2 linked regions of the Diceros bicornis minor genome follow. The protein of the gene in region 2 interacts with the protein of the main gene of each other region in a biochemical or structural test. Links are inferred from orthologs where the notes say so. Each region holds a gene or a part of one and is shown on either strand. Other genes may lie near its edges.

Region 1 (7,020 bases), on a different chromosome or scaffold from region 2:
AGTTATGCTCCCTTGAGCACACAATTGGGCTTTACCTACACTGGAGAAAGGTGGGGGGATCAGGAGACAGAAAGAGGAGAGGAGGAAGCCATTAGTGAACTTGGGTAAATTGGACTTCCAAATAAAATCTCACAGGTGGTCAGGCATAACCAACCAGGGACCACTAAGCGAAGAACTTGGTTATTACTTATTTCCACAGAGGATTCATCCCCTCCCCCCGCCTCAATATCCTGATTCCTGGCTCCCTCCTCTCCTTGCCATCCAATCAGTTACCAGTCCAGTAAATCCTTCTTCCTTTATCTCTCAACTCCACCCACCCCTCCCCATCCCCACAGCCACTGCCTTGGTTCAGGCCTCTCTCCCATGTGACCTGGACCACTGCAACAGCGCCCTGACTGGTCTCCCTGCTGGTCCTGCCCTATTCAGTGTAATCACCACATTGCTGCCTGGGTAATTTAAAACAGATGAGAGGATGTCACACCCCTGTTCAAAATTCTTCAGTGCCCCACTCTCCAGCCCTGTGCTTTCAAAATAAACTCCAAATTTCTTAGCATGGCAATACTAACTGCTACAGTTTAGAGTTTACCATCTACCAGTGCCAAGTGGGTAAGAGATATCATCTCATTCAATTCTCACAGCAACCTTGGGAGGTAGGCTATATTTCCCTTTTACAGATGAGTAAATAGAAGCTTAGAAAGGAAGCGACTTGCCCAAGGTCACAAAACTAGTTCAGCAGCAAAACCAGTGTTGATACACAGGTATCTTAGATTCCAAAGTCTGTGTTCTTAACATGCAACTGCCCACAAGGCCCTTCGTGATCTGGCTCCTGCTTACCTTTCCAGCCACCCTTATCCTACACTCCACTCTAACTCGGGGCAACTACCTGCAGGTCACGCATTCTCACCCACAGCCATTTGCTTGCACCCCTCCCAATGTCTGCAAAATCATCCCACCTCCCATCCCTCTTCACCTGATTAATCCTGCTCATCCTTTAGGACTTGGATAAAGCAACATCTCCTCACAGAAGCCTTCTCTGATGCCTCAGCCTGACTTAGCCTGAGCATGCTAAGTCCTTCTCCAGCAAACTTCAACAACAGCTTCATACCATAGTGCTGTTGTCTACCTCCTTGACTTAAAAAAAAGTAAACTCCTTGAGGACATGGATGTGTATCTTACTCACTTTCATGTTTCCACTTGCAGAGCAGTGCCAGGCACAGAGCAAAAGCTCAATAAATATTTATGCTTATTCTCTATTACGAGAAGCTGGCTGGGAAGAAAAAAGGGACCTTGTGGTTGAATGCAAGCCCAGTTCTCAGCTCTTTAAAGGGTTTCTAAACCATGTCACATGAGGGGCAGGGAGGAGCTGGCCAAGAAAAGAGGGGGAAGGGAGATGTTCTAGGCAGCAGAAACAAAGGACTGTAGGTGAGACACAGCCTGTAGGCAGTTTAACAAGACTAGAGCACAGAGGTGGGGGATGGGGGAACAATTAGGCAAGATGAGCCTTCACAAGTATGGCTTTTTCTTCATTCCGGTGTTAGATCAAACGTCACCTCCTCAGAGAAGTCATCCCTGATCAGCTAGCTTTAAAAAGAGCTCCCTCTGCTTCCCCTCAGTTACTCTCCACGCTGTTACCATTTCTTTTTTTCGTAGCATCCATCAGGATCTGAAACACCTGCCAACCATTAAAAGTATCGTATTTATTGACAATCACAACAGTCGCCACCACTACCATCAAAAGTAGGGTCCATGAAACAGGGCTGTTTTTTTGCCTTATTTTACCACTACATCACTGGTGCTTACAATAATGCCCGGCACATAACAGGCACTCAAATATTTGCTTTATTCACTCATTCAGCAAATATTTACTGAGCATATATAATATGTCAGGCACTGTTCTATACGCCAGGGATACAACTACAAATAAAACAAGTCAAAATTCTCAGTTATGTGGAGTTTACTGTGGCTAAATAAATTAAATATGCTTAGCCTGGAAAAGAAAAGGTGGGAAGAGGAAGACAAACTAGCAGCTTTCAAAGATGTGCGGGGCAATTCCGTGAAGGGAGAGCCCAAGAGCCTGAAAGAGGGACAACCAGCTGAGATCACTAGGGAACCGCTTTCAGCTCTGCATACGACTTGTTATGAGTCAGAGCTGGGGGCAGACCAAACAGGAGTAAGGCCAAAAGTAGTGAGCTTTCTGTCACTGAAGAAATTTAACCAGCGAGCGGGGGTGCCACAAAAGAAATCCAAGTATTCAGTGGGAAAGGGAGCCTGGGATCCAGAGGCCCCAAACTGGCAGCCACAGATACGCCTGGTTACAGGCGCAATTTAAAAAAATGTTTTCTATCACTTGCCAATGCTTTTTAAAAAATCATTAGTCATTAGTGTTTAAAAATCAAGGGATTGCACGTGCCCGCACGCACACACACACACTGAAGTTCTGGGTTCATTTCTTCAATATGTTAGTATTGCGCTCATAAAACTCAATTCAGTAAAAATAAGTTTGACTGACATAAAATTTTCTTACACCCACATTTACCTAACCTGACTGATCAAGCATTCAAGTCTGTAGCATCCGGACCAAACCAAGAAATCGAGCACCTTGGATCAGAAAAGCCCTTCGAGCTGCCTTAACTGAACCTCCTCGCCTCACCAATGACGTGTTATCACTCCCACATCACAGATGAGGGAAGAGAGGCTCAGCAAGGGGAGGGATGCGCCACAGCCACACAGCAGACCGTGGCAGGCAAAGCCAGGACCAGAACCCAGGCGTCTGTCTCCAGGGCTCCAACAACGGAGATTCGGGGCACTCCCCGCCAGAGACAGGACAGCAGCGTCCTGTCCGAGCACCCCGGCTGAACCAGTCTGAGGGAACGTGACTGGACGAGGGCGAGAGCCGCAGTCAGCGACTCCCTGGAGACAGACAGCCCAGGCACGGGCAGAGGAGGATCCTGAGACCCGCCGCGACCCTCGCCCTCATCGCCGAGCTCGCCTTTTCCCGCCAGGCCTCCAAAAGCCACACCGAAGCAGCCCGCGCCTCCCTCACCGCTGCGGCTCACTTACCGCCGCTCAACTTCCGGCAACCACACAGTCATCCGCAGCGCGCGCCCCGATGACGCAACGCGGCCCCGCCCCCGCCTGCCGGGGCGAGAGGACGGTGCGCGTGCGCACACAGAGCCTCGGGCCAGCCTGGTAAAGGAGCCCCTAGCACCAGGCTGAGGGGGCGGAACTTGAGGCGTGGGGAAGGCGGGACATCAGGAGGTGGGCGAGGACCCCCTGGAGCGAGCCGAGGCACAGAGACTTTCTCCCGTTTATCAGATGTGGGATTGTGTATATGTGCCCGTGAGACTTTTCAAAAAGTGCTCCACGTTCTTTCTTTTGATTTTAGAGGATGACAGGAATTATCATTATTTCCATTTTCCAGGAGAGGCAGTATCAAACGAATCACGGGGACCACGAGGAAGGCAGGTATGGAGACACAGGAGATGAGAATTTTAATAGGTAAAGGTCGATGAAAGTCGACACTGACCGACTTGCTCTTTGTAAACCAGACATTATTCTCATAGCTTCCTGCTGTCAATGAGATAAAGTTATTCATTCTAAATTATTTATTGAGCATATACTCTGTACCAGGCATTGGAGAAGTGTTGATACAATAGTGAGTGTAAACTTAATCTGACATATAAGGCCATTCACAAAGCGCCTCTGACGTAGCTCTATAGACTTACAATAACAAGAGTAATGACTACTATTTATTATCTACAATGTTTTCAGGTTTTCACATCTGTAATCGCCACAAAGGGCCTGCAAGGTAGATGTTATATTATTCCCATTTTACATATGAAAGAGCGGAGACTAGGAAAGGTTAAGGCGCTTGCTGAAGGTTAAAGAGCTTTTGGGCCAGGAGTCTAACAGAAGCCTGTTTGACTTACTGAGGAGATACTTTATTCGAAAGGATTGTTATAAGCAGTGGGGAAGGAGAGGGCGGGGACTATTGCAATGGGTGGGGGAGGGAATCTTGCAATAGGGAGACTCTGACCAAAAGATCTGCAAGTGTCTCCAGGGTTAGGCAAAAAGAGTTTTTCTTCCGTAGGGAAGAGTGAAGGCAAGAAAGAACTCCGGTGGGAAAGTGAGAAGAAAGCGTGGCTTGATTGGACAGTAGTAAATCATAGGATGTTTTACTTTGAGGCCAGCCTGTTCTCAGGAGGGGTGGTATGCCGGCTCCATCTCTGCTACCCTCACCCTTCCTCTGCTTGTGTAACCCTTTCCCCATCTTCAAAATCCAGTTGAAATGTTGATAGAAAAAAGAGTACATATTATATGATTCCACTTATGTAAAGTTCTAGAATCAGCAAAACTAACATAGTGATAGAAGTCAGATCAGTGGTTGCCTGAGGCATAAAGGGAGCATTGTCTGCAAAGGGACATGAGGAACTTTCTGGCGTGATGGAAACGTTCTATATCGTGATTGAGATGGGTATGACATTTGTACACATTTGTCAAAACTCATCAAACTCTATATTTAAAATGAGTGCATTTTACTGTATATATTTAATGTAATAAGTTTGATTTTTAAAAAACCCAGTAGAGGGGTCACCTCCTATGTGAAGGCATGCCTGACACCCACCTACCTCCAGGCTTCACTCTATTAAGGTTATATGAGGCTAGGTTGAAGTTAGTTCTTTTTAACCTTGTTTCCCCTGCTGGACTTCGAGATCCTTAATTTAATACCTTGTGGAGTTTCTGCCGAGCTCACTCTGCCGAGCTCACAAGGATTCCCCCTTCTCTGGGAACTGCTGGTTCTCCTACATGTGCCACCTGGCCTCCCACCTCTCTTCAGAGTTGACTGCAGCAGAAATGGACACAGGATGATTCTTTACCCTGAGCTTTGGACTTGAGAACTGATGCTCATAGAAAATAGGAACAGGAATAATTCATATTGGTCAATGGCAATATTCTATAGGGAACTTCCTCAAATTCTGACCGTTGAGGTTCCTGTGGCTGACTTGGCTCAAGCTCTTCCTGAGGTGAGGTCATCTAAAACGTTATTGGATTTCACAAAACACCCCAGCAGCCATTCACAAAGCTGGTTTCCATCACTTCCAACCCTGAAGTAGCTCCATAGGGTTGAAACCATGTCATCTTGTTCTCCATGGTCTCCTAGTGCCTGGCTCAAGAATTGGCCCAAGAAGTGTTCAAAAAGTATCTGTTAAATTAAGAGATGAGGTCTGGGCAGCCAAAATAGATGGTGACTCAGGTCACAAATGTGGCCTCCTTGTTAGCAGGAATTAGGGAGGCTTGGAGCAGAAGACCTGCCCCTGCTGCCCAGGATGGGGGATACAGACCCTTGGGGCACCAAGATGATGAAGCATCAAGAAAGATGCAAGACCAGGAGCCATAAAAAGGCAGAGAATGTTCTCAGATGCAGCAGGACAATGAGGCCCTTGACACTTATTCAAGACCACAATGATTCAGGTCAACCCACTTTTATCACTTGCCTTGCAGCTCAGTTGAGAGCACAGACTCCCTACAATGGGAACCATATGCCATGCCACCTACGCTTTGAAAGCCCAAGAAATCGTGGAATGACACGTTGGCAAATGAGATCTTAACAGCGTTGTTTCTTTACAGCACTTAGAGTGTGTTGCAGCCAGGAGAGCCCCAGCATCTTTTTCACCCTGTGTTAAGACTATTAAATCTACCTCCTGGAGGGCTCTTCTTCAAAAGAGAGATCAACAATTTTCTGCAAGCCAAGTAGCCAAATGATCACTTCATCAAATGGCCAACCTGCAGACTTGTAGATTTTCTGAATGAACACTTTGCAAATGTCACCAACTTCTAAGGTTTACAACAATTTCTATTGGATGGAATGGCTTCATGAGCTTCTAAAGATTTATGTGATGCAGTAGTTGACTGGTTTTCACGTCGTCTTCAGAGAAGCATTTGAAAGAATTTTCTATTTATCAAAAGCTAAGGATGGTTTATTCTTCCTTTGAATATATTTAACTTATGACTACATTAATGAAAAATATGTTCTTGAATGTAGATTTTTCTTAAGTGTATTAATATTATGCCACTCGGTCTATTATCTTTTTGTCTCTGACTCTCCACTTCTACTTTTCTATCTTCTTTCTCATTCCTCAGTTTCTCCCTATGTCTCCCTCTCAGTGTCTCCCTTTTTCTCTCACTAAATGTCTCCGTCTCTCTGGCTCTTAGTGTCCATCTGCCCCTTAGTATTTCCCCATCTCTGTCCTTGTGCACATCCATTTTGCCCTCTCCCTCTTCTGTCCTTTGGTGACCCCATCTCTTCCTCCTAGTCCATCATCTCTGACCCTCTGTCTCCCCCCACCTCCCCTAGTTTCCTCTTCTTTCTACCCCTTATCCTTCCTTCTCTCATCCTCAGTCTCTTCACCTCTATTTCTCCCCTGTCTACAACTCAGTCTCTCCCTGCAGTAGCAGCAAGCTGGGGACAAAGACAAATTGACCTTCTTCAATATGTGGCTATGAAGAAAAACGAAAATCAGTTGCTATAACTTCACAACAATTGTAGAAAACTGTTCTTAAAAGCCTCATCCAATATGTGTCATTGTAAACCCTGTAAATAGTTAAAAAGATGCCAACATTTGATAAATTTGGCAAATTGGTCATTCGAGGAATTGGCTTTAAGCTAATTAACTTTAAGCCCATAAAAAGAAACTCGAAGGAGCTTCTGAGTCTGCAAGTTCTTATCTACAATCAAGGTTTCTATGACAGCCTTCTCCTAGAAGGTATTTATTTTAATATTTCGGGCAGAGAGCCTGGTTTCAGCTAGATTTTGTGCAAGCCACTGGCCACTGATTCTTTCCTGAATGGGCTGAGGCTGAGTTATTTCCGGACCATGGTCTATTGCCTTTTATAAATTCAAGAATTAATTCAATCAATCATATAGGAGTAGGAAGAGCAGGTAGATACTGTGGAAAAGAAATGTATTCCAGAATCAGATTTTGGAGCCGGTCCTTAACCTCTCTGTGCTTCCATTTGCCT
Region 2 (6,113 bases):
GGGCCAGGCCTGCACGGATTTCAGGGGGTGAAAAGGCCAGAAGCTGGGCCAAGCCCTCTAGCCAGAGTTGCCATCAGGCGAGTCCTCGGGCAGATGAGGTTCGAGTCCAGGGTCACGAATCTCCGGCACCAGAGGGGAGCCAAGGGTGGCATCAAGGCCTGTGGAGAGTAGCCAGGAGCACCTCCACTTGGACCCCCACTTTGTGACTCTGCACACCAAGGAGCCCCTCACAGGCAGGAAAAGGGAAGAAGAAGGTGAGCAGGGTTTGTTAAGTTGTGGCTACTTAATAAATGTTTTTTGTTATGAAAAAGTCTACTCTGGGACCACACTGTACCGTGGAAGGGCTGGGCTTGGCTCCTAATACAGCTATGGTACACTACACACTGGTGTGGGTTTCCAGGATGAGCCCTAAGTCCGCAGAACACAGGTCTCTGCACTGGCGAGCTGAGAATGGTGTGGAACAGCCCCATCAGCAGCCCTCCCCCTTCCCCAAGCAGCTGGAGGCAAAGGGCCAGGCAGGCCTGAGCAATCTTTATTCTGCAGAGGGACAATGACCACAGATCCATACACCATGTCAAGACTGGGTGAGCCAGGGGCCAGTCCTTCAAGGGTGGGCGGGTCCAGGCAGGGGGCAGCGCCTCAGGCAGGGGAGGGACAGATGGGCAGACAGGCAGGGGCCTAAAAAAAAAACAAATCACACAGTAGGGGTGCCGGGGGTTGCTCCCCACCCTCCCCCATCCCAGCCAGCACCCAGAGGGGCAACCCTAACATGACTGGCCCAGGATCCACCCAGGGGCAGAGTAGGCATGGTTGGTGCTCCTGGCTAGGAGGCGCATCCCTGCCCAGCCCACCAGGGGCAGAGGCAGCTCACTTCAGGAGCCAGGAGCTACCTGGGCAGAGCCTGACAGGGCCCCCTACTCCCAGGCCAACCCCCCCTACTGCGAGTTCAGAAGCCGAAGGTTTCCTGGGAGGCGTAGACCATGTAGAGGAAGCCGTCATCATCCTTCTCCTGCTCATAGATGTCGGCGATGGGTGTGGACACGCTCACCATGCTGTGCTGGTTCACCAGCAGGAAGAAGGCCTGCGTGGGGTTCAGCTGCAGGCGGCGCCTGAGGTGGGCAGGAGGGCATGCCGACTGTGAGCACCCTGGCTGCTGGGCGGGTGTAGCCCTGACCCCCCCTCCCCAAAATGATTCCGAGTCTCTGCTTCACACCCATCCCAGCCCCTTCTAAAGGTTCTTATCTCTGACACTGACAGTGACCCCAGCCTTGACCTTGACCTTTCCCAACCTTCTCAGAAGGACCCAGCCCCCCGCCTGACCCCAGCAGGACCCAAGTCCCCCTCTGACAGCTGCTGCCCGCGCACCGGATGATCTTGACCAACTCGCTCATGTTGACATGGTCCGGGACCAGGAACTTGGTCTTGTCCAGGACAGGCAGCTGCTTCTCACCCTTGTAGCGCTCGATGATCACCTGGGAGCAGGGTGGGGCGGGACGCGTGAGCCTGAGGCGGGGCGCGGGGCCTGGGGATGGGAGGGGGCGGCGGGACTCACCGGGATCTTGCTGGGGTGCTGGTCGCGGATCTGCTGCACCTCCTTACAGCGGTCGGCTGCAGACAGCGGTTGGGCGGTGAGGCCCCGCCCCGCCTCTCCACAGCCCCCGCCTCCCCACAGCCCCCGCCCCCCGGGCCGTCGGCCCCCCAGCCCCAGCACAGGACGGGGTTGGGAGGCGGAGGCCCCGGCCCAGGCCCGAGCCTGCGTCCCAGCCCAGGGGGCGGCCGGAGCCTGACGTCACGGGGCTGACGTCACCTACGGCAGTCGGGTCGGTCGCACCCCCCCCTCCCCCAGCGCCCCCACCCCTCGCTCGCAGATCGCCCGCCGGGCCTCACCGAAGCTCCGCCGTTGCTTGAAAGGCCGGTCCGAGGGCATCGCGCGGGCCCGGCGGGGCGCGCAGGCCGAGGCTCCGGGGTGCGCGGCGCGGGGATGTGGCTGCGGTTCGGGGGCTCCGCGAGCTCCGCGCCTCGCACTCAAGGGCTCCGGGCTCGCGCTGAGCCCGGCGGTGGCGGCTCGGGGAGGTAACTCGCCCGGGTGACGTCAGGTCACAACATTCCTTAAAGGGGAGGCCGGCGCGCCGCTCCCATTGGGCCGACGCAAAACCCGCCCGCCCGGACCGTGATGTCACGGCGCAGAGAGCCTGGATTCCCGACCCCGCGCCGCGAAGGGGCGGGGCCTTGCGGGCGTCACAATCTCGTGACGTCATGGCCTGCGCGTATTCTCCGTCCCCAGGTCGGGGCTGAGCGGAGGCTGCAAAGCCGGCGAGCTGTTGTGGGAACTCACTCGCAGCTCTGGCGGTGGGGTGAGTGCGGGCCGGGTTGCGGCTCAGCGTCCTTCTGTTGCCGCTGTCAGTAAATTCACCTGACAACGCACACTCGGAGTCTGTTCTAGGGACGGTAGGAGGCGCTGGGGATGACAGCGGTAAACCAAAAGACCTCCTCGCCTTCGTGGAGCTTATGGTTAGAAAAGGAAAAAGGTGCGGGTGGGAGGGGTTAAAACATGAAAGAGCAAGGCACTAAAAAGGAACACAGGTTTTAAAAAGAAATTTCCAGAATTGAAAACTAGAGCTATTGAAATTAAAGTCTCAAAGGATGAGGTAAGAAAGCAGATTAGACCCAGCAGAAGAGAAAATCACTGAGCTGGAGGATAGATCAGAAGCAATTAACCAGAGTAACAAGGTGATGAAACGTATAAAAGAGGGAGTGACAAGAATGGTAAAGTGAAAAGAACTCACAGGTCCAGTCAGAGTTCCAGAAGGAGAGAAAAGACAGACTGTGGGAGAGGCTGTTCCTGAAGAAGAGCTTCCAAATTGATTAAAGACCAGGATCTTCACATAAAATCCAGAGCAGGATAAATAAAAATAAAATCAGCATCTAGGCACTTTGTAGTGAAGTTACAGAACTCCAAAGAGAAGAAATTAGATGCAAAAATGGTGAGCAACTAAACTGATCAGTGGGTAAGGAGATCTAAACAAGCACTTCATTGAAACATGGCTAGTGATGAAGATTTGTGGAGTACAAAACCAGGAGCAGGGAACCAGTAACATGTAAGACTGGAGAGGGTAATCAGCCTTCCAGTGTGCTAAGCAGCTTGATTTATTTGAGAGGAGGATAAAGATATTGATAATTGTCCGGCTTTCTAAAGTCAAGTATGTATTTCAAATGCTTAAGAGAGATCACTAAAATATTAGAAATAGAAAGTAGAACTGCCAGTGTAAAAAAGAAAAGGTTAGTAAAGGGTATTAGAATAGAAGGCAGGAAAGGAGAAAAAGGAGGCAAAGTAACAAGTATATAAATGGTACAAAACCAGAGGGACAAAATGCCCTTCACGTTCACCTATTAAAACAGATGATCAGATTGACCAAGAAAAATAAAATGCAGCTCCCTGCTGCTTACAAGAGGACATTTAAAGCCAAAGGGCAGGGGCTGGTCCCGTGGCGCAAGCAGTTAAGTGTGCGCGCTCTGCTGCGGCGGCCTGGAGTTCGTCGGTTTGGATCCCAGGCACTGCTTGGCAGGCCATGCTGTGGCGGCGTCCCATATAAAGTGGAGGAAGATGGGTGCAGATGTTAGCCCAGGGCCAGTCTTCCTCAGCAAAAAAAAAAAGAGGACTGGCAGATGTTAGCACAGGGCTGATCTCCTCACAAGAAAAAATAAATAAAACCAAAAGGCACCAAAAGTAAAAAGATGGAAAAAGGTATTCTAAAGAAAAACTAACCAAAAGATATATCTATAGCAAAATCAGACAAAATAGGCTTTAAGGTAAAAGACACTATTAGGGATAAAGGAAGCTGTAACTTCTATGTTAGAGGTTAAAAAAAAGGCTGAAAATGTATAAAGTAAAAGTGACAAGGATACAAGGAGCAATGGCCAAATCATTCATCATAGTGGATATTTAAGACCTCTTTCAGTAACTGATAGACCAAACAGCCAAAAAAGGATATAGACAATTTTAATCCTATGAATAATCCTGATCACTGGGCCCTGATAGAGCCCTGAACCCAATACCCTTACTTTCAAGTACACAAGAAACATTTACAAAATGACCTACTAGACCCCAAGTCCAGTCTCAACAGGTATCGAATAGTGAGTTTCATACAGACCATATTCTCTGACCACAGACAAGAGCCAAGTAAATTCCAAATGTTTGGACATTTAAACATACTTCTAAAAAACTTTTTACTCAAAGATGAAATCATATGGAAATGAAAACTACTTAGATCAAACCAAAAATGAGAATACACATAAAAATTCAGGGAGGGGGCAACTAAAGCAGCATTTAGAAGATTTATAGCCTTATTAGTTATACTAGGTAAGAAGAAACATGGAAAATTTGAGTTTCAAAAGAATTTTAAAAAGGAATAACTGTAAACCCACAGAAAGTGAAAGGAAGAGAATAATGAATGGCAGAAATTGATGTCATAGAAAACAAAAACACTAGTATGGACCACAAACAAAGTTGGATCTTTGAAAAGACCAATAAAATAAACATTAATGTGCAAAAGGGACATAACTACAGATATAGAAATGACAAAAATAAGAATGTTATAAACTTTATGCCAGTTAACTTAATACTGAGATGAAATGGACAATTTTCTAGAAAAAGACAATTTGCCAAGACTAATTCAAAAAGAAAAAGACAAACTGAGTAGCCATGTGCCTCAAAAAACCAACTAGTCCAGATGGTTTTCTAGGTGAGTTCTCCGAAAATAAACCCAAACCTGCAGCAAACGTTATACTTAGTGATTAAACGCCATACTATATGGTAAAATGTTAAGCATGATTCCCTTTAAAGCCAGGAACAAAATTTTGAATTTTATCATTGAACAAAATGCAACATTGTTTGGAGGTTCCAGCCAGAGCACCAAGACAAGGGAAAAAAAAGGAGCAAAACTACCCTTCACAGCTGGAAAACCCAAAGGAATCTACAAACAATAAAAGATCGCTAACTAATAACATCTGACAACACGTGATACCAAGTTTTAGAGTAATATGGGAAAAGGGGAACTCTTTCCACTGCGAATGGGAGTGTAAATCATTTCAGCCACATTGGAAAGCAATTTTGCAAAATCTACCCAAACTGAAGATGCCCATGTCCTACAAACCAGGAGTTCCGCTTTCAGGTGTGCACATGAGCCCAAGGAAACACAGTTAAGTATGTTCACTGGAGCATTTTCAAAATAGCAAAAAACTGGGACCCACCTAAATGTCCTATTAAATATCTTGTGTATTCCTGTAACAGAACAACACACTGTTATAGTGAAAGAGAGAGAGGAGGGGTCAGCAAACTTTCCCTTTGAAAGGCCAGATACTAAATATTTTCTACTTTGTAGGCCATATAGTCTCTGGCAAGTACTCAGTTCTGTTGTAGTGCGGAAGCAGCCTTAGACAATGTGGATGGGCATGGCTATGTCCCAATAAAACTTTATTTGCTAAAACAAACAGATTTGGCGTGAGGGCCTTAAGTTTGCTGACTCTTGATCTAGAGCTGTGTGTGTGTCAAAATGGACAAATCTCACAAACACGAAGTTGCAGGAGATTGAATGTGATCAGAGCCATTAAGAGCAGCTGTAAGAACTAAGTCAGGGCCGGCCCTGTGGCTTGGCGGTTAAGTGCACGCCGTCTGCTGCTGGTGGCCTGGGTTCGGATCCCAGGCGCACACCGACGCACTGCTTCTCCAGCCATGCTGAGGCCACGTCTCACATACAGCAACTAGAAGGATGTGCAACTATGACATACAACTATCTACTGGGGCTTTGGGGAAAAAAAAAAAGAAAGGAGGAGGATTGGCAATAGATATTAGCTCAGAGCTGGTCTTCCTCAGCAAAAAGAGGAAGATTAACAAGGATGTTAGCTCAGGGCTGATGTTCCTCACACACACACAAAAAAGAACTAGGTCAGCCATGGCCTTGGGGAAGTGGTTACACCTCTCTTTTGTCAGACTAAGTCCTGGGCTAAGGTTACAGTGGGGGAGGGGCCCATCCCCCAAATCCCAAGGTCTGTGCTCACTCTTTCTCTTACCTGATCAGTCAGCAGGGCTGACACTCCCTCCTCTAGTCCTCTGG

Evidence for each region.
Region 1: the proteins of MAP1LC3A (region 2) and ATG7 form a complex in vitro, tested with the Homo sapiens proteins (2 studies listed by BioGRID, with this or other methods). The link is inferred for Diceros bicornis minor from reciprocal best matches to the Homo sapiens genes MAP1LC3A and ATG7.

What each region holds. Positions count from the first base shown.
Region 1 is NC_080741.1:83,968,450-83,975,469, reverse strand, and holds the start of ATG7 (ubiquitin-like modifier-activating enzyme ATG7), read right to left. Parts: upstream 3,083-7,020; 5' UTR 3,061-3,082; intron 3,017-3,060; exon of another isoform or gene 971-3,016; intron 1-970. UniProt on the Homo sapiens protein: E1-like activating enzyme involved in the 2 ubiquitin-like systems required for cytoplasm to vacuole transport (Cvt) and autophagy.
Region 2 is NC_080758.1:25,021,753-25,027,865, forward strand, and holds MAP1LC3A (microtubule-associated proteins 1A/1B light chain 3A), read right to left. Parts: upstream 2,110-6,113; 5' UTR 1,928-2,109; coding exon 1,888-1,927; intron 1,609-1,887; coding exon 1,553-1,608; intron 1,473-1,552; coding exon 1,366-1,472; intron 1,110-1,365; coding exon 947-1,109; 3' UTR 940-946; exon of another isoform or gene 679-939; 3' UTR 511-678; downstream 1-510. UniProt on the Homo sapiens protein: Ubiquitin-like modifier involved in formation of autophagosomal vacuoles (autophagosomes). While LC3s are involved in elongation of the phagophore membrane, the GABARAP/GATE-16 subfamily is essential for a later stage in autophagosome maturation.